Notamacropus eugenii: one gene and its partners. The protein of the gene in region 4 interacts with the protein of the main gene of each other region in a pairwise test. Links are inferred from orthologs where the notes say so. Each region holds a gene or a part of one and is shown on either strand. Other genes may lie near its edges.

Region 1 (7,230 bases), on a different chromosome or scaffold from region 4:
GCTCTAACTCCCCTGAGAGAACAACGGAAGGAGGAAGATCTTCAGGTGTTTGTTTCTGATGCTTATACTTCTAGGTAGAAACAAAAAGGCAGTATCTACAGCCTGGACCGAAGGAAGTATATTTCACCTCTGCACCCCACCCCAACACACACACACACACACACACACACACACACACACCTCATACCAGCAGCAACCTCAAATCTACACGTCTGTTTATTTGCTCTTTCCCCTAATCCCAAAGGAAGTTACACTGTTTATCTTGCTGGTCTTTAATCCCTAGTGCAAGAGAAACACAAACCTTTCTATTTCCCTGGGAAGAGCAACTCTTCACCTCACAGTCCTATTGCCTTTGGCAACCCCATCCCCAGGCAACTACCAAGAGATGACTCTTCAGGATCCCTAAAGGTCATTCTGATTCCAAACCAACATCCTGTCACCACTCAATTAAAAGAAACCAAAGGGTGTTTGTGCTCACCTGGCAGCAAGAAGCCTGCACAGCCCTGGAGAGACCTGTATATGGACAAAGTTCCTGAAGGTAGGTGGAACAGTGGACAGAGTGCCAGGCCTGGAGTCTGAAAGACCTAAATTCAAATCCAGCCTCAGATACTCACTATGTGTATGACCCTAGGCAAGTAACAATTCTGTTTGCCTCAGTTTTCTCATCTGTCAAATGGGCTAGAGAAGGAAATGATAAACCACTCCAATATCTTTGCCAAGAAAACTCCAAATGGGGTCATGAAGAGTCAGACACGACTGAAAAATGACTGAACAACAAGGGCAAGAGCTCCTGCTCTCAAAGGTTTTATAAGCTCCCTTTTGACCCCAGGTAAGATGGGCAATTAAGAGGAAAAACAGAAGCATAGGCCCAAAGCTGCCGGATAGCAGATCTGGCTCCAGGGCCTGGGCAGTCAGAGTCCCTCTGCTACTCCCCACCCCACTGCTCCTAACTAGGCATCCAACCTAGGCCAGTCTGACCCCAGAAATAACTATGGCTAGCCAGTTTTCCCCGAGGGGCAATGAAGCAGCAATTAAGGGATCTCTGAGGGACTTTTTATCTAGGGGCCCAGTACCAGATGGTTCTGTATTTCATAAATGAGGCAACAGAAGACCAGAGAGGGGTAGGAGACATTCCCACATCTACAGTAAGTAACTGAAGAGAAATCAAAACTTGAGATTCCTAATTCCTCATCTGTAGGAATTATTCTATAGTTATAAATATATATCATACATATCACATGTGTGATCTATATATGTGTGTGTGCATATATATATGTGTACTTATAGATATATAATTATTAATCCATTGGTCTGTAGCTATTATTTCTAGTCTAGGACTCCTACAACTGTTACCATTCTATAGAAATGTATCTAAATTATATGGGAATTACTACAAAATATTTTATCTTATCACCACACCCAACTTTAAGTCAAGATTCAAAAATATTTTTGTAATATAACTGTGGATCTGGAGGAAAAGAAATAGCTCCCATTGGGTTTTGTAATTTGAACACTTCCAATAGATGAACTTAGCAAACCTGAGACCAAGAAAAATAAATCCTACATTAAATACTAAGCTCAGAGAAGGGACAGAATTTTCAAAGGCTTTACCTCCTATAATGACTTTAGAGAGGCCAGGATAATAATCACTGACGAGGTAACCCTTATGTCACAGGCACTGCAAACACAAGGCTGCTAAGGGGTGCAGAAGATGTGCCTGGAATCAGGAAGACCTACATTCCAATCCTACCTCAGTAGCTATGTGACCCTGGGCAAGTCATTAACCTCTGTTTACTTTCATCCACTAGAGAAGAAACTCATTCCAGTATGTTTTCATATTTTCCAGTATATGGGGTCATGAAGAATCAGAAAGAACTGAATAACTAAAAAAAAAATCTTTCTGAATAATTAATGTCGAAGGCAACTAGTTGGCACAGTGAATAGAATGCCAGGGCCTGGAGACAGGAAGACTCATTTTCCTGAGTTTAAATCTGGCCTCAGACACTTACTAGCTGTGTGGCTCTGGGCAAGTCACTTAAATCTGCTGCCTCAGTTCCTCGTCTGCAAAATGAGAAGGAGAAGGCAATGGCAAACCACTCCAGTATCTCTCCCAAGAACACCCCAAACGAGATCAAAGAGATACAACTGAAAAATGATTCAACAACAATTGACAATAAGGATCCAGGTATACTTGAGACCTCTAAATTTCTTTAGTTCCTTTGCCCCCACCAAGGTAGAAAACAAAGGTGGTCACTCAAGTTCACAAGGCATCAAAAATAAAACCAATTTTACTTACACAGGAAAGGACATAGAACTCACACCCAGGTCCAGGAAGAAAGAACCCTTTCCTCCTCTGCAAAGTGATTCCTTTCCCCCATCCCAGAAATCTGTACAGTTGATAATCTCACAGCACTGCCTTGGATCAAGTTTCATTGAAGCAGAAGCTAAGGTTGTACCTCCTGCTGCTCACCCTGATACCTCCACTCTTGGCAGGCATCCAGCATTCTACCTTAGCATTGTCATTGCTTCCCTACACCCAACCAGCATTACAGTCGTCCTCATCAGTGGTGCTGGGCTCAGCCCTGCTTAATAAGCGAATTGGCTGAATTCCCAGCTGACAATTTCATACCTCTAGGGCCAGAATGATTTTTCAGCAACTGACTCATTTTGTTCTTTTATAGTAGATCCCACCAGCTTATAAACAAAGGCCTTCTTCCGATGCTTCTCATCTTACTCAATCAAGGCTCTGTTTCCCATTCCTCTACAAGTTAAGATTAATCTATCCCATTTATCTCCTACCTCCCCCAGTAGTCCAAGCAGTATGACCCCCTCCCACTTGTTTCAGTACCTCTCACTGAATCTTGTGGGGCGCAAAGTAATACAGTAGCTCCCTTTACATATTCCAGTCCACTCCTGTCTTCCTCCAGGAAAGCAGATCCAGACCATACAAGTTAACCCAGAGCTCTGGAAAAGAAAGCAGGGAGGTACTACCCTGCTCCTGAGAAGCTGGCAAAGATTCATCTGAATCTCATTTAAGACTGTATCCGATGGTAACAATTAGAAGGCAACTGAAAAATCTATGCAGGAGTTGGTAAGGATGTTGGTTAGGATGCAAGCAATGGGAATGGAAAAGAAGAGATAGATATAAAAACATTGAAAAGAAGATGGAAGATCTGATGTTTCACACTGAAAATATGTCAGCAATATTAGGTCATCTTTTAATGTCAATAATCCTGCAGAAAGATAGTATTTGGGATGGGAAACCAATATGATTAAGTTCATCAATATTTGCCTATTTCAGAATCAAACACTGAAAAAAAGCTCAACATGAATGAAAAATCAGTCTAATTCACTGTCACATAAAAACACTCTGGGCTCAAAGCCAGGTGTATCCTTGGACTGGCCTTTTTAGCACCCTAAATTTAACTAGCTGGGATTATTTTTAATATTTTACTCAACCTCTTAAATGAAGGACTTGCCTTTTAATAAGATATTGTCATTTCACTTAATGGTGTATGGAATACAGGTGTCCGTAGGTCAGTAATTCTTCACCGAAGCATTTATTTCTTGTTGCAAAGATGAGCCACATGAGCCTGAGAAACTTCAATATGCCAAACAGCATCAAGAAGACTTGATGACCTAAATCAGCATGCAGGGTCTGGGTAGGAAATAAAGTGGAAATACAGGTTTTTAACTTGGGAGATTTTGCTCAGAAATATCAAAGACCAAACTATATCAAAGAAGACCTTGGGCAATTCACTTCCTCTCTCTGGACCTCATTTTCTCTTAATGGTCACCTTCCACTTCTAACATTCTATAACCCCATGATTAAGAGCCAGCAAAGAAAATACATGTATTTTTTTAGAACACTTTAGGGAACTGCAGCAATGTTTGACTATCACTGCAAACTTTCGTGTGGGGCTATCCCCATACTTTATATCTTCTGGTGTCATTTATAGTACAAATATCAGTTCCTCCAGTAGCGTATTAACTCATTGGTTACTGAACAAAAATCTCATGTTTATTGTACCATTGGCTAAAGAAGTTTGTAAATGGTCTAAAAACTGTGATTCTTAGAACCCTCTGCTCTCTCTTCTGCTTCTGTCCTGCCACTATCACTGCCCAAGCAGAAGGGAGTTGTGCTGCTCTAAAGGCTCTGTTGTGTTTTATATCTTTTCTGGGTCACAATGACCAAAAAGCATATCACCTGGGAGCCAACCTTCTGGCAATAATAATAACATTCTAGCCATACTTAATCTCATCCTCAGTCAGGTTATAATCTACTATTAGAACCATACTTTAAACCTTTCTCAGTTTGATAGAACATGCCAAAGTATGTACATAGTGGCATGTATTTTGAGAACCCTAGGTCAACTCCATACTATAGGGAAACATCATAGTGGAGTTTTTGTGCGGGAAGTAGATATATACAGGTATATGTGTATACACACACACATACATTCTATATAAGAAAGTTGGACTACACAGATGAACCCGACCAAAAAACTATTAGAGAATTTCATTCTAAAAGGTGATGCAACTTTAAGGGCTTTTGAGGATCAATTTTCAAAACATCATAGATTCCAAAATACTTGGAAGAGCTGGTGCTATTGTCCCGCCCCCCAAAAAAAAGATGATCAAGAGCATTTCAACTACCAGCTACTATGCCTTCTTTTCTCATTTCTCTGAAATCCTCAACGGCAGTGGTCTGGGCATATTTTTGTGGTGAAAATGTAAGGAGCACAGGGGAAGAAAGACAGAAATGAGCCTTTACAACAGACTATATCTTCATAATCATAAAATGAGATACAAGGAAGACAGGAGATGCCATTGTGTCTGTTTGTTGGCTGCAAAATGGCATGACTCAGAAAAACAAAAGCCTTAAAAAACTTTTTTCTAACAAATTGTCTCCCATGTTATAAAATAACTTAATAGATACAACCATAAAGATAATCTACCAATCCTCCAAGGAGTCATACCAAGCAACATATAAAAAAAAGAGGACATATGTTTGCCAAAGGCATTTGCTAGTATCATGGAGGGTGTCACTGTATCCTATTCAAAGTCCAAATGGAAGAGAGATTCCCTGCATTGACAGTAAGGTGCTCTGGATTCTCAGTTTATGGATGACATCACATGGAGACCAAAGACACTACAAGATCACTTTGACGAGATTCACAGGGAAAAATTACAGAAGACTAGCTGGAAGAGCTCTCAGAAGCCTTCTAGGTCAACTCAAACCTGGACAGGAATCTCCTTCTCTATATGTCCAAGAAATGATTAACCAGCCTTTGCTTGAAAAATTTCTGTGGAGGGGGAGGAGCCAAGATGGCAGAGTAGAAAGACACACATATGTTAGCTCTGAACCCACAGCCCATAAAATATCTGTAAAGAAGAACTCCCAACAAATTCTGGAGCAGCAGAAGCCACAGAATGATGGAGCAGAGGAGATTTCTGTTCCAGAGAGCTCTGAAAACCTGACTCGAAAGGTCCATCACGCACCAGACCAGGAGCAGAGCCCAGCCCTGCCTTGGCTGCGTGGCACCAAGAGGAGCAGATCCCAGCAGGCTTCAGGGACAGAATCTACAGTGGCCGCGTGGGTCCCTCCACCCACAGACGCCGGGGGTGAGTGAGACTTTTTGGCTTGCCGAGAGGAGAGCAGGGTGTCTCCATAACTCAGGCCCCCTCGGGAGGCAGCAGCGGAGGTGGCAGCGGACCAGGGCTCCTTAAGCAGGCAGGAGCCCGGATCCATTGTTGAAGGTCTCCACATAAACCCCCTGAGGGAACTGAGCCCCAAGTGGTGGCTCTGCCCCCACCTGAGCACCTGAACTTAATCTCACACTGAATAGCAGCCCTGCCCCCACCCAAAGCCCTGAGGCTGGGAAGCAGCATTTGAATCTCAGACCCCAAGCGCTGGCTGGGAGGATCTGGAGGCATGGTGGGGGTGGAAAGAAAACTCAGAAGTCAAGTCATTGGCTGGGAAAATGCCCAGAAAAGGGAAAAAAAATAAGACTATAGAAGGTTATTTTCTTGGTGAACAGATATCTCCTCCCTTCCTTTCTGATGAGGAAGAACAATGCTTACCATCAGGGAAAGACACAGAAGTCAAGGCTTCTGTATCCCAAACATCCAGCATAAATATATCATGGGCTCAGGCCATGGAAGAGCTCAAAAAGGATTTTGAAAATCAAGTTAGAGAGGTGGAGGAAAAACTGGGAAGAGAAATGAGAGAGATGCAAGAAAAGCATGAAAAGCAGCTCCACACCTTGCTAAAGGAGACCCAAAAAAATGCTGAAGAAAATAACACCTTGAAAAATAGGCTAACGCAATTGGCAAAAGACGTTCAAAAAGCCAATGAGGAGAAGAATGCTTTAAAAAGCAGAATTAGCCAAATGGAAAAGGAGGTTCAAAAGCTCACTGAAGAAAATAGTTCTTTCAAAATTAGAATGGAACAGATGGAGGCTAATGACTTTGTGAGAAACCAAGAAATCAAAAAGCAAAACCAAAAGAATGAAAAAATGGAAGATAATGTGAAATATCTCATTGGAAAAACAACTGACCTGGAAAATAGATCCAGAAGAGATAATTTAAAAATTATGGGACTACCTGAAAGCCATGATCAGAAAAAGAGCCTAGACATCATCTTTCGTGAAATTATCAAGGAAAACTGCCCTGAGATTCTAGAACCAGAGGGCAAAATAGGTATTCAAGGAATCCACCGATCACCGCCTAAAAGAGATACAAAAAGAGAAACTCCTAGGAACATTGTGGCCAAATTCCAGAGTTCCCTGATCAAGGAGAAAATATTGCAAGCAGCTAGAAAGAAACAATTCAAGTATTGTGGAAATACAATCAGGATAACACAAGATCTAGCAGCTTCTACATTAAGGGATTGAAGGGCATGGAATATGATATTCCAGAAATCAAAGGAACTAGGACTAAAACCAAGAATCACCTACCCAGCAAAACCGAGTATAATACTTCAGGGGAAAAAATGGTCTTTCAACGAAATTGGGGACTTTCAAGCATTCTTGATGAAAAGACCAGAGCTGAAAAGAAAATTTGACTTTCAAACATGAGAATGAAGAGAAGCATGAAAAGGTAAACAGCAAAGAGAAGTCACAAGGGACTTACTAAAGTTGAACTGTTTACATTCCTACATGGAAAGAAAATATTTGTAACTCTTGAAACTTTTCAGTATCTAGGTAGTGGGTGGGATTACACACACAC
Region 2 (7,607 bases), on a different chromosome or scaffold from region 4:
TACTCTTGTCCAAGCTGCTCATTTTACAAATGAAAAAACTGCGGCCCCAAAAGGGGGGATGACTTGGGCAGCATCCCAGAGAGGCCAGTTCCCATCTTCTTTTCTTTCCCCAGTATTCTTGGGTACTTTGCTTCATTCCTTCCTTAGGTTCCAAGGGCTGAAAGCAATGATTCCCCCAGGCTGCTTCCCATGCCTCTTCTTTATTCATTTTTTCCTCCTTCCCAAATTACATATCGTTGTTTGTCTTTCATTCTCAAAGATGATCATGACATCAGGGAGGTGATGCCATGACAGGTGAGTGATTTGGATTTCAGTGATTTAAGTGAGGGCTGTACAAAGTCACCAGTCTCACTTTCTCCTCCAGAGCCATCTGGAGCCAGTGACCAGATATACATCAGGACTGGAGATGATCCAGAGTGCAGTGGGGATTTTTCAAGATAAGGTCTATAACAGGTCTATTTGACTGAGGCAACACCCATTCAGTGATTGAGGCTTAAGAAATGAAGCAGAGAATATCTTCTTCATCTAGTTTAAAAAAAAAAATCAGTCTGGGAGGGGAGGATCCTCAGGATTTCTGGCCAAAAGAGAAACAACTGCTATTTACATTCCTTACCCTTACCCTGAATGACTCAGGAAGCAGATTCAGCATAATCCTGTGAATCAGCTCCAGAGACACTGGGTTCGAGAAACAATTTGAAGGTTGTAGGTGGAGCCTCTACACCGGGGGTCAATAGAATTCCAAGGAGTGCATGTACTCTGATGAGGAAAAAATTCTTTGTTTTTTCCAAAATAATTGTTCTTTGTTGCAACCCTATATATTTTATATATTTAAGAATATTGTCCTTTCTGAAAGGGTGTCCCTAAGCTTTATTCAACTACCAAAAGTGTCCATGAGACGAATAAGGTTAAGAACCCCTGCTCCAAACCCATTACAAGTGCTGATATGGGTGGGAAATACATCTCTGGATGTTGAGGGTGAAAGGACATCAGACTATGGAGTTGCCAAGACCCACCCAATACTGGGAATTGAGTCTTATTTGGAAGCTGTCCTTAAAAAACAAATTGTACCTAAGAGAAGTTTGCCATTTCATACGTAAGTCCTTTTCATGTTCTTTTTGTATGTTAGAATGTTTCGGCTTAAAGATGTTTGTCAAGTCATAGTGAAAAAGGAAAAAAAATGTTTTGTGGAAATTCTGTTTCTCATCCTAGCTCTTGTGTGATGTTGGAAGTATGATAAGGTCTCAGAAAAGGGGAAGCAAGCTGACAAAACAGACAGATCCAGGGCCTACTGTCTGAACATCTGGGTTCAATTCTGTCCTCATATGCTTACTAGCTGTGTGACCCTGGGCAAGTCACTTTACCTCTATTTACCTCAGTTTCCTCTTCTATAAAATGAGGATACCATCTACCTCACAAAGTCCTTATGAGGATCAAATGAGATAATCTTCGTAAAAAAGTGCTTAGCATGGTTAGTCCTGCATAAATGTTAGCTACTAGATGGCACAGTGGATTGAAATGCTGGGCCTAACATCAGGAAAACATTTTCCTGAGTTCAGATTCAGCCTCAGATACTTATTAGCTGTGTGACCCCTAAACAAGTCATTTAATTCCGTTAGTTTTGGTTTACTCATGTGCAAAATGAACTGGAGAAGGAAATGGCAAACCACTCCAGTATCTTTACCAAGAAAACTCCAAATGGAGTCACAAAGGGTCGGACAGAACTGAAACAATCTTTCCAAGCCATACTGAAGTTTCTTTCATAGAGTTTGTAATACAGAGTTGGTTGTGGGGAAAAAGACAGATTGGATTCATTTGATGGTGTCTGAGGAGAGATATGGAGATAGATGTCAAAGGATGCTTCAAGGGTCAGACCTACAAAAGAGGATGGAGATCATCACCTGGAAAGCAGAAACCTGGTGACTCAGGAAATAGGAACATTGCCATCTGCTAGGAGCTGAAGGAAACTGCCAGCAGATTGACAATTGAAGAGACTTCCAGAACCATGAAAAGAGACCTCAGTTCAGAAGCATTCTGCAAAGTCCAACTAAATAGAATACCTGAGCATGATTGTAAATGATGGTTGTCTGTAGGTGGGTATTGTAACTGCCACTGAGCTCTGTGTGACCCTTATTTGACATCCTTCAACCTATAAATAATCTAGTTAATTTCTTGAACCTTATAAAGGGAATTGGTGACAAGAGATGGTGGGTGAATATCTCAGACTCTGAAAGCAATAAGGCAGAGAAGTGAGAAGTCCCCTTAAGTGTATCCAGGTCCATAAGGATGTTTAAGAGCCTCTAACCTAAAACTTATCAAAATGATCATGCTTTATTACTTTTTCACTGTTCTCCAATCTGAATTCTTCTCTTCTAGTTCATCTAGTCCAGTGGTATCAAACTCATCTAGAATCAGAGACCACTAAACCATACATAAGGATTCCTGTGGGCTATATATTAACTTAGAAAACCACATATGAACATTATCTATGCTCTATTGTATTTTTATTTATTTTATTAAATATTAGTTACATTTTAATCTGGTTTGGCAACATTCGGTAGCTCCGTGGACCTGACATGTGGACAGAATATTTAAGACTTCTGATCTAGTTTGCAGAGGTATAAGAGATGAAATATTGAGCCCAGTTTGGCTGAAACACAGAATGGGTGAAATAAGACTTGAGGTGATTGGAGGCAGCTGATGAGTCGACAGTCAACCTTTTATTAAGTGCCTACTCTGTGCCTTTTATGAATAACCTTTTAAGTACATACTATATGCCTTTTAACAACCTTTTATTAAGTGCCTACTATGTGCCAAGCATTCTTGGGCAAGATCTTAAATGCCATGCTAAGGAGACTATATCTTATCCTAAAGTTAATAGGAAGCCACAGAAAGGTTTTTTGAGCCAAGGTGTAACTCAATAAAATCTGTCTTTTGCTAACATTATTTTGGCAACTGTGTAGAGAGTTTGGAAAAAGGAGAACTAGAGGTAGGGAGATCAGTTAGGAATCTCTGGCAGTGGTCTGGTTGAGATGTCATGAGGACCTCAGTAAGAATGGTGGTCATATGAATGGAAGGGGAGATGATGGGCAGTGTGGAGATGGAGTGACAAGATTTGAAACTTAGATAATAGGGGAGAGTCAGGTAGAGGGAAGTGTTGAGAATGACTTAAGGGCCCATCTTGTACCTTGTGATGGATTTATAAGTGCCAGGTCAATTGGCCTCTAAGCTTCCTAAAGACCCACACCATTTCATTTCTTTTCTTTCCTTTTGCCTAGCACAGGGTGGGTACCTAGCAGATGCTTGCCATTCTAAGTGAGTTGAAAATCTGTAGAAGACTCAGTTAATATTCTGCCCCCAAAATCTGAGGGCACAGCAATGTAATCTTACATAACCTTCAGCTATGAGTCATATCACATGTTGTTCTAGAAATAAGGTTCACATTTATGTAAGGAATTAGCATCTTTATCACTGACTGCCCCTAGCAAAATATTTTTCTTCTAGTATATCCCTCTGGACCCCAGGCTTACAGACTTTGGGTATGGTTGCTTTGGGATGGTTTCTTGAGAAGGGAGCCTCAGCTATCTGCTTGAGAATTTAAGCCTGGGACCTGCCTCTGGTTCTCCCTGTTTTTTATTCACTCATCTTCCAAAAATGCTGCCCAGCCCAGAAAGATTTGTCTTCAGGCTCTTTCCTCTCTCTGAGACTCTGGGAGTTGGGGGCAGCCAGAACAAGATGTTATTTTAAGGTCCTTCAAGAGCAAGGCTAAGCAGGAGAGATTGTGGAAGAGAAGGGAGCACAGTCTCTCTGCTTTACCAGGCCACCTCCCTGTGGTTTGGACGGTTGGCAGGGGTGGCTCCATTCCAAGAACACTAAGCTGCTTTTAACCCACACAAAGTCCCTACTGGAAGCTGGCTGGTGCCCTGGTTTGGGTACCAGGGCTAGCTTCACTAATAGGAACTAGATGTGATTTGAGTCAAAGACGTCTCCTCCCCTCCCCAACATCTTCTCCTTCCTTGACCTAGTTGTGAAGCATGGAATTCCAGAAACTCAAAACACTTTGGCCTTGAGCAGAGTCTTTAACATACAAATCTCTGTGGAGTAGGGGCACAAAGTAACCAAACACCCTAGGTTACTCTACTATTTGGAGGGGGCTGAGGTCAAAAGGAGCAAATGGAAAAAGCAGGGGGAGGGGTGCACTGAAGATTGGGGGGACAGGGAGACCTAGACCTTGTCCTACACGTTTCCCTAAACCCTACGGAGAGTACAGAGGTGGCGGCGTGGTCAGCGATCTCTAGCCGTAGCCCCGTGGTCCGAGCCCCCTGGCCCGTGCTCTCAGCCCCCTGGCCCGTGCTGTCTTCCTCCCTAAGAGGACTAGGAAGACCTCGCCGAGATGAGGGAGGGGCTTCCTCTTTCTCTCCAGTGTTACTGTTTCCTTTTAGGGACACACTGTAGCCTCCGCCAAGTGTAACCCGTGGGACTGGAGGAAAGTCATTTCCCCACGTTGGGCCTCGATTTCCTCATCTGTAAAACCCAGGGGGGTGCCTTTGGGGGTCACGTCCACTCCGGATCCGGGCACCTTCTTTTTCTTTTCCGCCGCCGGACCTCTGGCCCACGCTGGGCTCGGGGACCTTGACGGCCACCTCCCTGCGGGTCTGGGGACCCCCGGCTAGGTTGGACTCTGGGCTAGGATGCGGGGCCGCCTGTTCCGCACTCCCCCCGGCCCCTCCCCGCTGTGTTTTCCGCCCTGTAGGGGCGGGGCGGGCTCCCGGTCCGGGCTCCTCCCTCCTCGGCCCCGCCCGGACCGGAGGACGGCCCGGGGGAGGGAGCCGAGGTTCGGGAGGAAGCCGGACGATCAGACCCAGACATCGGCTCCGGAGACGGCGGGGCTGAGAGGTGAGTGCGCGGGGCTGGGCAGGTGAGGGGCCCCGGCCCTCCTCTGCCCTTCCTCCTCCTCTTCCTCCCCCCCCCCCCCCCAGCCCCGGGAGACAGCTTGTGTGTGCGTTGGGGGAGTCTCTGCGCTCCCGTCAGCGGAGGTAGGCTGCCGCTGGGGTGGGGAGGCGGTAGCTCTCTGCCCCCAGCCCTTGCCGCTTCTGCCACCCCTGCCCAGGTACAGCCGTGCCCTGTGTCCACCGAGGCCAGGGCACGGTGGGGAGCAGGGTTCCCTATCCCCCTCCCCCAGGCCTCCTTCCCTCCCAGGTCCCTGGCCCTAAGCCGGAACTTCCTTCTTTCAAAAGGGCCGAGGGGCCCGGGGGCTCGATTTGCTCGGGCCGGGAGGAGAATCGCCGCCTCCGTGCCCGGTCTGCCGTGGCCCTTTCCCCGCCCGTGCCGGACGGACGCGCTCCTGCGCACCAGCCTGGGCACGGACTGCCCGCTCCCGGGACCCCCCGGCGGCCGGCCCTCGGGGTCCCCAGGCTGCCCGAGCGAGGTGCGCCCGGCCGGGTCTTACCACGGGCATCCTGGGCTGGCTCTCCGCTGGGGTGTTCAAGGTTAGACTCTTAAAGGCCAGCTCGTTACGAAAGCTTATTGGGCTTTGGTGATCGTGGCCACGGGCGGAAGGAATGGAAGGCACCCAGACTGGCTTTTGAGCCGTTTCCGCGGTGGTTTGGATGGAGAGTCTACACCTGCACCTACACTGTAGAGGAGGTAGTGGGACCGTCTTCCGCCTTTCCCACTCCCCCAGGCATTGGAGAGATGAATGATTGGGGCTGGGAGTTACGATTAGGGCCGGGGAGCAAAGTGAAAGCTCACCGAGACTAGAACTCGCGACCGTTGGCCAACCCCCTGGTGTGTTTCACCATCAAGTGAGCGGGAAAAGGCCATCCAGGAGAGATGGAGAGGCTTGCGTGGCCTTAGAGGTCAGGCGTGCTGGATTCAGTTGTCTTTGCCTTCCACCACAGTAAGGAGACAAGGTCCTGCTAAGTTTTGTGAGCTGGTAACGTTCGAGGCTTTACTTGCTGTGGACGTTTTAGGTTTGGGAAACATTTGAGGTACCATACTTTCTTTGTCTTAGCCCACCGTTAAATTGCCCCCTGTTTTCCCACCGGACCTTCCAATTTGAAGGAAAAAATAATTAAGATTATTCCTTGGGAGGGGGAGGGGGAGGGGAAGGGATTGTTGGTAGTGTGGTTGTCTATATGTCAGGGAGCCCCCCTGGAGAGTTAGTTATTCCAAGCAATTGGGAACAGCTCGGTTTGCTGAAAAAAAGAATTACTTAACACCTGTTAATAGGCTGCCAGCTGCTCAGTCCTAGCTGTAAGAAGGGGAAGAACCCGCGGTTCAAGATTTCTGGGAGCTCTGGTTTCTGTTGTTTACCCCTGGCCTCTTAACATTTATCTGTAAAATATCTTATAAAAAGAGAGAGCTTGAATTCTCTGGGCAAATATCAATAGCTAGAGGGGAGAAGGTAGGTCTCTACAAAGTTCCTTCTTGGCCATGTGGATAGAGGAGAAAGAATTTAGCTGTTCGCCTTCCACCAAGGTAGGTGGTGACTAGCACTGGATGGGGAGAGGGAGGGCTAGAGTTTGGGAGACCAGAATTCAAATCCAGACTCAGACACTTAGTTGTGGGATCCTAGGCGAGTTACTTACCTTCTCTTTGCCTCAGTTTCCTCATCTGTAAAACGGGGATAATAAAAGCACCTACCCTATAGGCTTTTAGTGAGGATCAAGAGATCCTCATTTCAAAGCACTTAGCACAGGACTTGACGCAAGGTAAGCCATATGTAAGTGTTAGCTACTGTTATCATTATTCTCAAAGTCAAGGACTAAGGTAGATAATTACTGTTTATTGAACCAGATTACCCAGAGTTGAGTGCAAAGATGCTCAAAGGGCACCAGGAGCTTTGGTACTATTTTCAAAATGGCAGGGCAAGGGAGAAAGAGCTCCAGAGGTGCCCACTGTTGGGCAGGTTAAGTCACCAAGTATTTATTGGGCACTTACTCTCTGCTGGAAGGAAATAAAAAGAAAAGCAAAAATAAAGAATTGCCCGCCCTTGAAGAGCTTACATTATTTTTTTAAAATTTTAATTAATGTATTTTTAGTTTAGAACATTCAGTTCCACAAAAGCCTTTGAATTTTAAATTTTCTCCTCTTCCTTCTTTTACCCCCCTCCCCATGACCACATGCAATCTGATAGAAGAAAAGCTTACATTCTAATGGAAGAAAACATATGAAAAAGGAAGCTGAAAGGGAGGGCAAGAAGGAGAAGGCAAGAACTACCCATAGTGGGAGGATGGTGGAGAAAAGAAATCTAGAAAGTCTGGAGCTCATAATGGGACCCCGGACAGAAATCTTTGTGGGTCCTCTTCTGGTTTTGACCTTTGTGGTTTGGACTTACTTTGTATGCTTGAGTCCAGTGACACATTTTACCATCTACCATTTAACAGGCATTAACTACCTGACCAAATACATCAGCAGAAAGTCACTAGCCGGGCCCTGGTCTCAAGGCTTTTTAGAAGATCCCAAGGAGAATAAGATTTTTGCTTCAAGGTGCTTTCTATCTGGTGGGGTAGGAAAAACAGTCTGACATGGCAACTTTTGGGAGTGTATAAAATGAAGGGGTGACATTAGATCCCTCTCAGCTCCAAATTCGGTCTTATGACCAATAC
Region 3 (7,536 bases), on a different chromosome or scaffold from region 4:
CAATGACACTGATATGATTCTTCTGAGGATTCTCTAGTTGACGGTCTGGCCATTTTTAAGGGGTTTTCTTTTCCCTGGAGGAATAAATGCCTGTGCTATACTGGTCTGATGCCATTAGCACTGACTCAGTGCCAGGTGTGAGGCGAGCATTTGCTCTGAATCTCCTCTGCCATTTATCATCACCTGTCTGGGAATCCAGGGAAAAGGGCTGTTAAGGAAAGTTTCCCCATGAAGGGAGGGTAGGGCTAGAAGCTGATATTTCAGGGGGATGATGGGAAGGAAGGGAGAGCATCATTTCCTAGGTTTCTCCCATGTGATGGGCTGGGAGGATCTCTTTCTGAGGTGCCTATAAAGTCCAAGTGTGCTGGATCTTCTCAGCCACAAGGCGGAGTAAGGAAAAGCTGAGCCACAAGCCGGGCCCTGCTGCTGCTCCAACATCAGCCTCAAGGTGGAGAAGCCCCCAAATGCCCGTAGTCTTGGCTCTGGCACCAAAACAAAGAGTACACACAGAGACGCGCTGGCGGCCAGGGCTGTACTCAGGGAGAGCAGGAAGCCACAAGCTTGGGGTGGACTGGATTTGGGGAATACACAGAATGGAGCAGAGAGGCCAGGAGAACTCTGGTCGTTTTGGTTTAATTCTTAAGTAATAGCACTCCTTCCTTCCTGCTCTCAAACGCAGACTTGATTAGAAAGCCCAGGGCTGTGGCGTGTGCCTGGGAGATGGCAGGCATCAGGGCATTCAGGCTGAGGTCCCAGCTCTGGCCCCTCCTAGCCCCCTGACTCCATGCAACTTATCTGACACCTCTTTGCTTCAAGTCTCTCAGCTATAAAACGGGGCTAAAGAGGGCTGCAACAGGGGCCACTCAGCAAACTTCAGAGCTACCATTTTCTGATCCTGTAGAGAGAGGAGGGGATGTCTCATCCTGGTTCTGCTACTTTGGGGGGCTTCAGTGTCCTCTTCTATGAAATGAGAAGGGAGGTGGTTTCCAGGATCCTTGATAATAAGCACAGAGGAGGTCCCCATCTGCCCAGCAGCCCTCTGCTGCTCTATACTTAGAGTTTCAACACCACACAAGGATCAGACATACAGTTAGAAGGGCCAAGGGGGTCCAACACCTTCATTTTTATATTAGAGAAAAGGGAGGCCCATGGAGGTGAATCAGTGTCACAAGTGGGATCTGAAGTCCCAAGCCTGGCCTGTGCCTATACCAGAAATCACAGATCTCCCCCATCCCACCACAAATGCACTGACTTATGCATGGGGCACATTACCTACCCCCAACTCCAGCAGGGAAGTGAGCTCCTTGATGGCAGGGACTTGCTTTGGAGCCAGAAGAGGTCTGGCTCTCGCTACCAGTGTGCCCTTGGCCAAGTCACTGAATGAGAAGGGGGCTCACTTTGCTCTCTGTAGGTAGGGACCTCTAACCCTTCCAAACTGTCCCTCCCCCCCAAACCCACAGACCAGCTCTTTCAGTGCTTAGTCCTCCCCCACTGCAGGCACCTAAGAAGAGCTGGGATCATTTATACAGGGCTCTCAAGTTTGCAAAAGGCTGTACATACATCATAGTCACCTCTCCAGACCCCTCATAAAATGTTTGGTCCCTGAGGGATCACAGAGTCACATATCCAGAGATCAGAGGCTCCTCCAAGCCCATGTAACCCAAATTGCTCATTTGACAGGCAGAGAAACTGAGGCTCGGAGGATGAGTTCTAGGGACAATAGGGTTCTTACAGCCCACCCAGTGCAACCCCCCCTTACAGGTACAGAGAAAGAAAACCGAGGCTCAGGTACAAGGACTTCAGGAGCCAATTTAGGCCAACGTCCTCCTTTTACAAATAAAGAAACTGAGGCTCAGAGATTCACATAAGGATGAAGAGGTGGCTGGCATCTCCAAACTTTACACAGAAAGAAACTGAGGCTCACAGAAAATTACAACATCCCATGCTGACTGACTGACCTGTGGCTCTAGAGCCCACCCCCTCCATTTCACGGAGGAAGAAATTGAGGCTCCGAGAAAATTACAGTATCCCACACTGATTGCCAATCAACATGATTGACGGGTGGCTCTGGGGTAAGGGCCTCGGAGTCCATCCTTCCCCCTTACAGAGGGGGAAACTGAGGCTCCGAGAAAATTACAGTATCCCATATAGATCATCGATCAATACGACCGACTCGTGGCTCTCACGGAGAGGGAAGCAGACGGTGACATCACACGTTGATCGACACGTGGCTCTGGGAGCCGGGCCCCCTCCCCACCCTCCTTCCCTCCCAGTCATTGTCCGAGCCCGGACTCACCTCCACCTGTTGATGCCCACGTTGGAGGAGCCCGCGAACCAGGGGTCCAGGATGTAGACGCAGCGCACGGTGTCGGCGCCCTCGATGCACTCCTTGAGCGCGGGGTTGTCGTGGAGCCGAAGCCCCTTCCGGAACCAGTGCACGGCGTTCACTCCCATCTCGCAGCCTGCCCGTCTCCCGGAGGGGCCTTAGAGAGCGGCGGGCGCTAGGACCCAGCGAAGCCCGCGGCCGCCCGGCCACATCGCGTCCCGGCGGACCGGTGGGGGGGAGCCTCGCGCCGACGCCCCGGGGGTCACGTGGCCGCGCCGGCCCGAGCCGGGGCCGACAGAGAAGGAGAAGAAGGGGAAGCTCAGGTTCTGGCGCCGGCCTTGGTCCGAGGCCGGATCCCGCTCCGGCCCGCCTGCTCTTGGGTTCCCGGAGTCAGTGCCAGCTCCGGCTCGGACTCTGGCTCCTCGCGCTGGGGCGGACGCGTCAGCAGCCCAGGCCCCGCCCCCGGACGCCCATTGGCTGAAGCCCCTGCCACGTGACCGCCAGCTCGTCACGTTTCTGAAGTGTGTTTACTACACCCGGCAACCGGCGGCAGGGAGGAGCCGGGGACCCATGGCGGCGCCTCGCGCTCCCGAAGCAGCCGCTCGGCCCCTGGCCGCCGCCGCAGGCTTTGCAGACGTGAGTCGTAGCTGACGGCGCTCCCCGTCCTTCGCTCTCACGGGTATCGATGGCGTCCCAGCCTCCCCCTTCCCCCCCACGGAGCCGGTGGCGACCTCTCCCCGTACCGCGTGAGCCAACACCCAAGCCCCGCCCCCGAGGGCCGCGATTGGCTGCTGACAGTCCGGGAGCCGGTGGAGTCCCGGATGAGCACGGGGCTGCGAGGAGCTCGGCGGCAGCCGCGCGCGCGCGCTCCCGGGGCGGCCCTGCACGCGCCCGGCGCGTGGTCCCGTGCTGAGCAGTGAGCCTGCGCAGCCGCTCCCGCCCTGCCCTTGCCCCTGCCCCAGCAGAGCGCTGGGCTAGGGGCTTACTGAAGTCTGGGCCTGACCCACCCTCTTCGTGCCCCGCCCCCTTCAAGGCGCCCTCAAGGGTCTTCAGGGGGCCCCAGAAGTTATCCCCAAGGTGACCAGAAAGTCCGGAGCGCAGGACACCGACTAGCCACGTGATCTGGGTCATCCTCTGCCTCAGTTTCCTCACCTGTAAAATGGGGCTAGTCAGCACCTATCTCCAAGCATTGTTATGGAGAGTCCAAGGAGATAGTGTTTGTAAAAAGCACTTACTCAGCCCAGTGCCCGGCACGTGGGAGGCTCTATCTAAATGCTAGGGGCCTCAGGGAGCCCCACTTCTCCAGAGGCACCCCCGGGTGACCCTCTCTTCCCAGACACTCCCGGGGGTCACTTTCATCAACGGCTGCGTGACTCCCCTTCTCCTACACCCCATCTCCAGGATCGGGGATACCCCTTCCCCACCCGCATCCATTTGTGACACCCCCGGGGGCTTCGCCCAGCTCGGCCCGCTTCCACTTGGGGTGCCAGACCTCTTTCTGACGGCCTCTCACGGTAGCCCCGAGTCGGACTCTGGGGGATGAACGTTCTCTGGAAACGAACCTGAGAAGCCTTACTTCCCCACCTCTCCCGCGACGGGGAGCCTGGCCACTTTTTCTTCTAACCCCTAGAAGCCCCCAGGCTGCCCTCGGTGGCTGCGAGCTCTTGTCAAACTCCCCAGCCGAAGGGCAAGCAGACCCTCCCCCTTGGCTGATGCCCTTCGGGGCCCTCCAACGCTTCTGCAGCCTCCCCTGGAGGCTCACATCTCCGGTCTGACTCATCAGGTCTGGAACCTCGTGGCCCTGAGATCTGCAGCCTTCCTGGTCCTCTCGCGTCTTTCGTAGGAATCTCTGAGTCTTTGATTCCACCCTCTGCCCTCATGGTTGAGGAATTAAGCATAAACGTTCCCCTCTGTCCCCTCCCATCAATACTCTCCTCTAGATTCCCATGATCAATATCTCCCCTCCATCCAAGGGATAGACCCACCCCCCCTTCACACCAAACTGTGCTCCCTCGATATCCGATCTTGGGATCTGAAATCCCAATCTCCCATCCTCCAGCATTGTCCACGTCTCACTCCTAAACCTGATTTTGGTCCTCACCAGCATCCTCTGATTTTCTGAGTCCTGACTCCCTTCCCCCAGTACATTATGCCTGCTCTTTGCTTGCCTTCATTGTCTCATCCCTATAGTTAACCAGTTCAACAAGGCTCCGTCATGTACCTTGAATCCCTGGTTCTTTTGTTTCGCTTACACTACGAAGACTCTCAATCCTGAGTCACTCCCATTGTCCTCTGCCATCCTTCAGAATGCCTCGAAGAGGAAGCCGTGTAATCATGCCGTCTGGGTCTGCTACAAAGTCATGTTCTCTACCCTCAAATAGATCCTCAAATAGTTCCAGAGCATAAACTCTGATACTCATGTCTCCATACCCTCAGATCATCCTAACTTCCTAAATCTCCCCCGTCTTCAGTTCTCATTTCTCCTCAAATCTGTACCTAAACACCTGTTTATATTTATACCTGTCTCCCTCCTTTACTCCTAGCTTGAAGGAAGTCCAACTTGTCCAAGTAAATGCCTTTTCTTATACTCTTGATTTTATACCTTATCATATCTTCCAGGAATTTGTCCCGCCCACCATTTTCATTCATTAATCTTCAAGCCTTCTTTCTATGGCCTTCCTTCATTTTCTCTTCTAACTCCCTCTGCCAAGAGATTGGCACACCCAGACACCACCAGGTAACCTTCCTATGAATCCCATCTGCATTTTCAGTATCACTTTTCCCATCTTATTTGGTTCTTGGATCCTGGGAATCCAGAGATCTGGAGTGGCTGGGAGACATTACAAATTTTTCTCTCCTTCCCCTTCCAGGCACCCACTCCCACCCTTCTACTCCTTGTATGATGTGGGCGCTGGCTCCATTGACATCAGTGGGGCAGCCATGTGCTACCTGTTCCCACTTCTCATTATTTCCCATAAAACTGTTATGAGGAGAGTATGACCACACAGAGAAGTGCTCCTACCCTTTACTTGCTTGAAATTTCCATTCATTCCCTTGAAGAACATTTAAGGTTTCTACCTTAAATGGGGCATGAAAGTCATGGAGTACTTCCTGGTTTGCCCAACCCACAGGGTGCCCAGAATTGGGAATCCAGGGGCAGCTTTTCCAGTCATGGTTGCTCTGATTGATCACTTGTAGACTATCCATGCACCTATAAAGAGGTGGACCTGGGGTTATTATTAGTGATCACTTCTAGACCCGCCATGCACCTGTAAAGAGGTAGACAGCCCCAACACTCTAACCTGGGGCTGTTATCTTCCCTGGCAGGTTCCATGATGACCTCTATGCAGGGGTCAGAATCCCTTGTTTTTCTCCTAAATTCCAGCCCTGTGACTCCAACCCATTACTGGATGCCTCCATCTGGACGGGCTGGAACCCAAAGCTGAAGACATCCAGTAGTTTTCACCACCTTTTCCCCAACTCACTTCCATATTTTCCCAGGATAGCATCCTCCTCCTCTTATTCCCTCGGTTCAAAACTTCAGTCATTCTAGACTCTTCCCCCTCCCCATCCGATAGAAAGGAAGCTCCTTGAGAACAGGGATCATTATTTTTATCTTTTCTTTGTTGTTTGTTTTTATTTAGTATCTTATTTTCTCCCAGTTACATGCAAAAACAAATTTTAACATTCATTTTTAAAACTTTGAGTTCCAGCTTCTCTCCCTTCCTCCCTTCCCACCCATCCCCACTGAGAAGGCAAGCAATTCCATATAGGTTCTACATGTGTAGTCATGCAAAACATTTCCATATTAGTCATGTTGTGAAAGAAAACTGATAAAAAAATTAAAAAAAAAAAAAGAAAGTAAAAAACCGTATGCTTCTGTCTGTATTCAGACTCTGTCAGTTCTTTCCCTGGGGATGAATAGCATTTTTTATCTTAAGTCCTTCAGAGTTGTCTCGGATCATTGTATCTCTGAGAATAGCTAAGTCATTCACAGCTGATTCATCTTACAATATTGCTGTTACTTTGTACACAGTACAAAGCACATGTCACTTTGAATCAGCTCATAAAAGTCTTTCCAGGTTTTTCTGAGAGCATCCTGCTCATCATTTCTTAAAGCCCAATAGTATTCCATCATAATCACATACCACAACTTGTTCAGTCATTCCCCAATTGATGAGCATCCCCTCCATTTCCAGTTCTTTGCCCCAACAAAGAACTGCTACAAATATTTTTGTACATATAGGTCCTTTTCCTTTTTTAAATCTCTTTGGGATACAGATTCAGTAGTGATATTGCTAGGTCAAAGGGTATTTATATCTCCCTGTACCTATTGCCAGATGTTACAGGTTAAACCCCTGATCCCTCACTGATCCAGTTTAGATGTCCGGATAGAACAACTATAATACAAATAGCATTTATAGAGTACTTGGAGGTTTGTTAAGCACTTTACAAAAACAATCTTACTTTAGCTTCGCAACAACCCAGGAGTTAGGAGCTACTATCACCCCCATGTTGTAGATGACATTTTGCAGGCAGACATAGGCTAAGTGACTTGCCCAGGGTCATACCGCTAGTATGAGCCTGAAAATTCAATTCATGGAGTATTTATTCAGCACCTATTATATACAAGGTACTCTGCTAGTTATTGGGGATATAGAGAATATGGGGTGCAGGGACAGAATACACATACAGCCTTGATACAGATCAGAAAATCTGAGATGGGGAGGAAACATGAACAGCTTGTAGGGGCTCTTATTCTGGGGTCCAAGAACTTGTTTTTCAATGTAATATGTCTTTTGTAGTTTTTGCATTCAAAATCATTATTCTGAGAAGGCACCTATAGTCTTAACTGGAGTGCCTATGAAAAACCCCTAAAAAGTAGAGGAAAAGGGAGGCCCTGGGTGGAGGCTTGAAGGAAGCTGGGGAGGAGTGGCCACCACCTGTGACACTGGAAGGAGCTCCACATTCAAGTCACCTTGGATCACTGGGAGAAGGAACATAGTTGGAGGATGTGCCGTTCATGATGGGTAGGAAGCCAGAAGGATTTTCCTGGGCTTCTCCATTCATTTCCCTAGCCAGGAATTTCCAGGGAAGCTGGGCCTAGGATTTGAGACAGGGAACTCTGCAGGGGGTAGGGATATGGGTCCCTAGGGCAGTTACAGGAAGGGAGAAGTGGGAGGGGTTCCTAGGAGGTGGGGGGGGGGGGC
Region 4 (7,314 bases):
AACATAAGTCTTTACAGACCTCAAGGCCAGAGCTCTTTACAGCATACCAGGCTACCTCTCTGATAATAGGGTAACACGATAAGAGTGTGATCCAAAGAAAAGAGCAATGTCTCTACAGTCAGAGGACATGAGTTCAAATCCAACATTTGACATTTAAGACCTGTGTTAGCTTGGGCTAGTTACTTAGTTTCCCTTGTCCTCAGTCCCTTCATTTGTAAAATAAGGTGGTTGGATAAGACACTGACCTCTTCCAGAGCTGAAATGATGATTTTATAATCCTGAAATAAATTGTTGATGGAAAGAGACATGATCTGGGCTCTGTGAGTTCATTTTGGTTTCCAATGTGTCCTGAAATATTTTTATTTTGGTTTTGGTTGGTGCTTTATGCAAAGCAATTCTCTTCCACATCTGGAAACTGATTAAATATGGAAGTTCAGTGTATTAACCAATTTAAGTTTATTTTTATAAATGTATTAACCAATGAAGTATATTAACCAGTTATGTAAACTTATTAGCCAATGAAGAGAATAAATAATTTTCCTTTTTTCCTCTCTTCTAATCCTTAGTGGATATTTACTTTTTTTCCTTCTCAATAATCCTGAGAAAACCTAAATACTATTAGAGGGAACTTCTGCTATTAAGAAAACAAATTACCTGTGGATGCTTTTACTGACTGCTTCTGTCTGAGCAAGGCTCATTGAATGAATCATTGTTCTCTAAACAGCCCTGACAGAAACAAAACAAAATTCCCAAGACTACAGGAAAGGCTGTTCTTGGAAAAGGAGGATGAGTATACCAAGATTTCCAGGAATCATTAAAAAATAAATGAAAACATACGGACAATTGGACTATATTAACTCTGTACCAGCAGGGATTGTATACTATGCCATTTGAGAGAGTATTCCATACCATTCCACATTTCCCTAATAGCACATAAGAAGTTTTCAGTAAATAATTTTAGTTTTCCTTCCTTCTTTCTTTCCTTTTTTCCTCTTTCTTTCTTTCTTACTCTTTTTCTTTCCTTCCTTTTTGCCCCTTTCTTCTTAGTTCCTTCCTGACTTCCTTGGATGAGAAAATGGAATTGTTTGTTGTACGTCCAGATGACTTTTCCTTGGTCCTTATTCCAGGACTCTTAACTGGACAAAGTAGCACAAATTCAAGGGGAAGAGGCATCACACTTCTTCCATTCAGAATTAGTAGAGCAGTAAAGCCAATCCTTGTTCAGTCTCCTGGGTGAACTCCAGTTCTGAAATTCTCTACCTCTTTACCTCCATCTCCTAGTTTTCCACTAACTTCACTCAGCTAAAATCCCCCATTCTGAAGGAGTCCTTCCTGGTTCCTCCCCAGAGTTCTAGTGCCTTCCTCTCTAAGTTCCCCTTTGGCCTTTATTATATCTTCTGTATCTATTTGCATGGTGTTCTCTCTAGTACTTTATGAGATCCTTAGGACAGAAACTGTTTTTGTCTTTCTTTGCTTTGCTGTTAGCATAGAACCTTGATATAGTGACTGTTTTAATAAACTGTTGACTGACTGGAAGTTGGAGTGGCAGATTTTAGCTGTAGGTTAAGGAGAAAAAAGGTGGTATAGTGAAAGGAGTTTAGGGCCTGGAGTCAGGAAGACTCATCTTCCTGAGCTCAGATGGCCCTCAGACACTTACAAGCTGAGTGACCTTGGGCAAGTCACTAAACTCTGTATGCCTCCCTTTCCTCATCTGTAAAATGAGCTGGAGAAAGAAATGGCAGGCCACCCTAGTATCTTTGACAAGAAAAGTCTAAATGGGGTCATGAAGAGCTGGACATCGCTGCATAAGGACCAAGCTACAGCGACAAAAGAAAATACTGCACAACTTTCTCAGATGAGAGCTTGCAGTTGGCTGTCTCTGGGGGTTGGGAGGCCGTAAGCCCTCTGTCCTCTTTTTAATTAACCTCTGCATGCTCCAGGCTTCGGGAAGCATTTGTTAGGTATGCATGGAGGAGTTTATTTTTCCTGTGCGAGTTGGTTTACATATACTATGCTTTTCTTTCCTGCTCAGATATTTGATTAGGGATTGCACAATTTTGGAAAGACCAGCTCAGCTACTCCAGTAAGCAGCCAGCCAGCCAGCCGTTCATCCAGGCTTTTTGCTACAGGAGACTCACTATTTCTTTTTAACTTTCGGTCTCTTTTTTCTTGTTTCTGTTCCTTATTTTTCCAAGCACAATCGTTCTCATACTACTCTGGCATTCTTGCCTCCAAAGATAACCAGAACTCAAGACCGGCAACCTTCAGGTCACGTCCCACACCTACCACTTCCTACCCTCCTCTTGTCCCGCACTCCCTAAATCCATCCCCTCCCCCTGCACTCCAGACGTCCAGAGGGACAACTTCCCCTTCCCACCCTCAACCGAGCCCAGGAATCCCACAAGGATCTCTAATAAAGCCGAGCAGCAGACACACTCCACCCCCTCCCCTTGCTTCCCCTCTCCCTGAATTGAGGGGCTTCCGGCTCACTCCACTTCGAATCCGACCTGTAGACTCTCTCTCCCCCAACTGTCTCCCCTCTCTGTCTCCCCTCTCTGTCTCCCGTCTCTTTCTCTCTCTGTCTCTCTCTGTCTCTGTCTCTCTGTCTCTGTCTGTCTCTCTGTCTCTCTCTGTCTCTGTCTCTGTCTCTCTGTCTGTCTCTGTCTCTGTCTCTGTCTCTGTCTCTCTCTCTCTCTCTGTCTCTGTCTCTCTCTCTCTCTCATTCTCTCTCTCTCTCTCTCTCTCTCTCTCTCTCTCTCTCTCTCTCTCTCTCTCTCTCTCTCTCTCTCTCTCTCCTCCCTCCCTCCCTCCCTCCCTTCCTCCCTCTCTCCCTCTCTTTCTCTCTAAAACACTAACAGAAAACGAATGACAGCTAAAGACGTATTTCCCACTGAGTTCTCTTGTGTGGACCCAGATGCGGTGTTTCCACCCTCATACACTTACCTACCTGAATCTAATCTTCTGGCTTCACTCTTGAACTGTGATTAAATGTCCTCCACCGGCGGAAACAGAAAAAAAGAAAAGAAAAACGAACCAGGGAACTAGAAGCTGCTAACCAGCAGTCTCCGCCCTTGCAATACAATTGAACCACTAGGGAGACGTCCTTTTGAAAACATACTTTCATAAACCGTATCCCTTCCCTTTTGAGTGAGGCTGGTGACTGCACAGCCTTGCCTTACTCACCTTCCTGACGTCATTGGTCCTCTTCAAGAACGAGAGATGAACGACAGTTCCCTCTACTTTTCATTTCTTCCTTCTGTTTTTATGTTACATAAAATAATGTAGTTACCTCTATTCCTTTCCAAAGTCTAAGATAAAATTCAATGTTGAGACATCAATTGATGGTCATCGTGAAAAGAGGCACTCATGTATACGCTGCTTTCCTAACGGTACTGGAAACACCTTCTAATGGAGAGAAGAGGGAAGCTTGAATTTTTGCCTGTGAATTGGAGCGATTCATATCAATAGGAGGGAATGACACACGTGGGCAGGTTTTCTATAGACCTGGAATACTATTGAAGGAAACTGAGTTGGAGCTCTGATTCAAAGGAAGATAAACCATCATAGGAGGAAGGAGATGGAAAGGACCTAAAAGGGTCCACTCCTTCATTTTACAGATGAAGGAATTGAGCCTGAGAAGATGACTGCCTTGTCCAGATGCAGCTAGGTGCCTGAGGCTGGATTTCCTGACTCCAAGTCAGGAAGCATGGTGCTTCTTACATTTTGGCCAGGAGTTCATTCCCAGTACTCAAGCCTGCTTGGGCAAAGGCTTGAAGATAAGAAATAAAGGGACATTTGAAATGGATGTGTGATGGGATTAGTGAGAAGAGTGAAATCAGGATTAGTTAGAAAACCTTGAAGCTTTCCACTATCGTTTGTTGGTCACCTGCTATGTACCAAGGGCTGAACTTAGTACTCAAGATATAAAAGTCCTGAATTCATGGAGTTTACATACTTACTAGATCCTTTGATTGGATTGAATGACTTAGGGGATAGATAAGATATGATTAAAGTATTTTAGTGTTTTACTGTCCCTGTTGACATAAGTGGCAGTTCCAGTCAGTATTTTGTAATGAAAAAACTTCCATTGGAGAAACATTAAATTCTAGAGATTTTCAAATTTACTTTCTCTGCAACCCTTAAAACTCTTCACAACCTGGCTCCTTCCAACCTGTCCATTCTTCTCACATTTCACTTCCCTCCACAAACTCAGCAATTACTTCTCTGGGCTTCGTGCTGTTCTTGCCATCTGATTTCCCCTCTCTTGTCTCCATCTTGGTACTGGCTGTCTTCCAGACTTGGAATATACTCCCTCTTCACCTCCTCCACTTGGCCTCTGGCTTCCTTGAGAATTCAACTAAAATCCCACCTTCATCAGAAGACACTTTGCCCTTGCTCCCAGTTGCTAGGGCCTTCCCACTGAGATTATCTTCCATGTACTTAGTATATAATTTGCGTGGGCATAGCTATTTACACAGAGCTTCCCCTGTTAGGATGAGAGCTCCTTCAAGGCAGGAATCATTTTGTTTGTTTCATTCCCATTACCTGATACACGATTACCTGATTCATACATAAGCTTTTAATAAATGTTTGTTGCTATTATAATGGCTGACATGATATTTTGACATAATATTTTAAATTTATATATATATATATATATATATATATACACATATATGTGTGTGTATGTATGTGTGTGTATGAGTGATCTTCCTAGAGTTTCACAATCTTTATACTACATACAAGGGCCTTTTAATAAATGTGCAGATGACAGCTCAGAAAAGTAATGTGACTTGTTTGTGATCACGCAGCTAGTAAACCTCAAGGTTACAATATCAAATCAGGTCTTTCTCTTCCATACTCCAAGCTGAACCCTGCCATTTATTTTTGTCATGCCACCAAAGCCAGGAATTGCAAAGTGCTTTATGGACAAGGAATTTTTTGTTATGGAAATGCTTGTTTTATTCAATAAATTAAAATAAAATAAAAAGCATAAGACCTTAAAAAATAGAAGCAGTCGGACCTCTGATTTCATTCAAACTCCCCATGAGAGACCTCCTACCAATGCAGACTAGAGTTGCTTGAAACTGTCTTAGAAATTGCCTATGGTGACTAAACTATAAATAATGAAAGTCACTACATAATCCTACAACAATGTGCAGAAGATGAGAGCTCAGAAAGGGACAGGAAGCTGAGTTGAAAATTTTGGAAAAGTTAATATTTGCACCTAACAGTGCTTTCATTTTTCACCACCCAGTCCCTCCCCATGGATGTAAGCTTCCTTAGCAAAAAAGAAAAGCTGATAAGCAAAGTCTCCACTTTCCTTGACTGAGTGTGACAATTTTTACAACATTCTTACAGCACAGTGTCTTGACTTTGTAGACAGGAGGAAGCTCTGGGTTTATTTACTTAACCGAACCATTGTGGGGTATTCAAGTTACCCAGTGTTTGTTTCCTTTGGTGATCTTTTCATTTAAATAGTCAGTCTTTTTTACATCTCATTCTTCCATTTCTTCTTCTTTAACTCTAATTAAAGTTCATATTTATCATTTTGTTGTGTTTTCATGATGTATTGTAGCAAAAAGGTCTCAAAGAATTCAGTGTCAGATCACTTGTAAGCCAAGCATGGATTTTTATTGAGACTGATGATTCTTATGAAATGGGCTAAGTTCCAAGAGGACTCAGCAATTTTGGAGAAAGGAAAATGGATTTTTATAGGGTAAAGATGCAAATACGTAAACAGAAATTATGAATATTAAAAAGGTAGGAGGGGGTTTGTTAAGGTATTAGGTAATACCATAGGGGTTCCAACCACAGTGGAACTGGAAATGCAATTACCCACAATGCATATAGAAAAAACTCATTGAGGGGGCATATATCTTTGATCATGATATTATAATAAGACTCTCTACGACACAAGTACACCTGAAGGACAGCTTTTGTTATTACTGAGTAGGTGTCTACTTTAGGGGAAGTTCCTTCTATTGTTCTGTGGTCCACATCCTGCTTGGGCATTCTGGTGGTGCTGCTTTTTGATTGCCTGAATATTGGGACCGTGTCTGAGACCAGACAGGTGTGATTGTGGTTGAGTGCATGAACACACCTGCTGTTTCTCTGCGAAATATGAAGAATTGTTCTAAGGGCAGTGACTAGCTGGAAGCAGTGTCTCAGATCCCATCAAATGGACACACCTTCTGTTTCTGTGAGAAATATGAGTTCATGGATACACCTGTTGTACTAGTCAGCAGTGAGGCATATATAGGATATTGAAGTGGGGGTGGGGGAGGTTTGAGTGGCTAGGCAGGGTCAGTGGGCCTGCTGTTCAGTGAAGCTTATAAGAAAGTTAGAATATTGGGGCCAGGGGCAGTTTTATTAGGATTCTATCAACTTTTGCTACATAATAGTTTATTCATATGCGGCCATTCTCTGTCTCTCTCTCTCTCTTTTTCTCTCTGTCTCTCTCTGTCTTCCACATACACACACAGAATTTCTGATTTCATGTGCAACTTTTTAAACCTTATTCAATACCTTCTTTTATATAACATTTTTATACAACATTAGTTTCCCAATATTTACCTCCTTACAACCTAGTGTTTCATTTCTTAAAAAAAGATTTAGAAATATAATGAAGAAAAAAACAAAGGGAAAGTAATCATACTCATTAACTATGACTGATGGTATATGCAATATGCCAGACCTACATCCCTTTCTTTCTCTACACTGATAGAAGAAAGTACATTTTCTCAACTTTTCTTTTGTGGTCAAGTCCATACATTATAATTCCATGGCATTTGGTTTGGTTTTGTTATAATTTCCATCTATATAGTTATGGTCATGTTGTTTATTGAATCCCTGATTCTATATTAGTTTGTAAATGTTCTCATGCTTCTCTGACTTCTTCACTGTCCTTACTTCTCATGTGAGAATAATACTTCATTATATTCATACATTTAAATTTATTTAGCCACTCCCCAAACAATAAGAATATAAGCAAGTGTTGATCCTGTGTATTTTGAAGCTACTCTTTCAAAAAACACCAGTGACATTGTAATAATCAAGTCCAGCACTTTTTATTTTTATAATTTGCAGCCCCTTTACTGTCTTTGCAACTTTTGATGCACTTGACTTTTCCTTCCTATTGGGAACTTATCTCTTCAGAGACATCACACTTTATTGGTTCTCATCCTTTGTACCCCTTTAAACACCAATTCTCTGGCTAGTTTATTTGTTTTTCATCCTCTTTCCAGCCATTTAATCTAGGTGTTCCTCAAGAGTATATGGTAGGATTTTTTCTACTCTCCCTTTACATTCTTT

Evidence for each region.
Region 1: the proteins of phospholipid scramblase 2-like (region 4) and RGS3 interact in binary tests that used the Homo sapiens proteins (3 or more experiments, as listed by UniProt). The two-hybrid records come from large-scale screens. The link is inferred for Notamacropus eugenii from reciprocal best matches to the Homo sapiens genes PLSCR1 and RGS3.
Region 2: the proteins of phospholipid scramblase 2-like (region 4) and ANXA11 interact in a two-hybrid assay, tested with the Homo sapiens proteins (2 studies listed by BioGRID and IntAct). The two-hybrid records come from large-scale screens. The link is inferred for Notamacropus eugenii from reciprocal best matches to the Homo sapiens genes PLSCR1 and ANXA11.
Region 3: the proteins of phospholipid scramblase 2-like (region 4) and CRY1 interact in a two-hybrid assay, tested with the Homo sapiens proteins (2 studies listed by BioGRID and IntAct). The link is inferred for Notamacropus eugenii from reciprocal best matches to the Homo sapiens genes PLSCR1 and CRY1.

What each region holds. Positions count from the first base shown.
Region 1 is NC_092872.1:478,293,571-478,300,800, forward strand, and holds the start of RGS3 (regulator of G-protein signaling 3), read right to left. Parts: upstream 3,022-7,230; coding exon 2,849-3,021; intron 2,062-2,848; coding exon 2,010-2,061; intron 1-2,009. UniProt on the Homo sapiens protein: Down-regulates signaling from heterotrimeric G-proteins by increasing the GTPase activity of the alpha subunits, thereby driving them into their inactive GDP-bound form.
Region 2 is NC_092872.1:229,641,765-229,649,371, reverse strand, and holds the start of ANXA11 (annexin A11), read left to right. Parts: upstream 1-4,580; 5' UTR 4,581-4,893; intron 4,894-4,950; exon of another isoform or gene 4,951-5,033; intron 5,034-5,231; exon of another isoform or gene 5,232-5,987; intron 5,988-7,607. UniProt on the Homo sapiens protein: Binds specifically to calcyclin in a calcium-dependent manner. Required for midbody formation and completion of the terminal phase of cytokinesis.
Region 3 is NC_092874.1:289,311,789-289,319,324, forward strand, and holds the start of CRY1 (cryptochrome-1), read right to left. Parts: upstream 3,012-7,536; 5' UTR 2,455-3,011; coding exon 2,297-2,454; intron 1-2,296.
Region 4 is NC_092877.1:335,160,413-335,167,726, forward strand, and holds the start of phospholipid scramblase 2-like, read right to left. Parts: upstream 3,030-7,314; 5' UTR 2,948-3,029; exon of another isoform or gene 2,944-2,947; intron 416-2,943; 5' UTR 309-415; coding exon 246-308; intron 1-245. UniProt on the Homo sapiens protein: Catalyzes calcium-induced ATP-independent rapid bidirectional and non-specific movement of phospholipids (lipid scrambling or lipid flip-flop) between the inner and outer leaflet of the plasma membrane resulting in collapse of the phospholipid asymmetry which leads to phosphatidylserine externalization on the cell surface.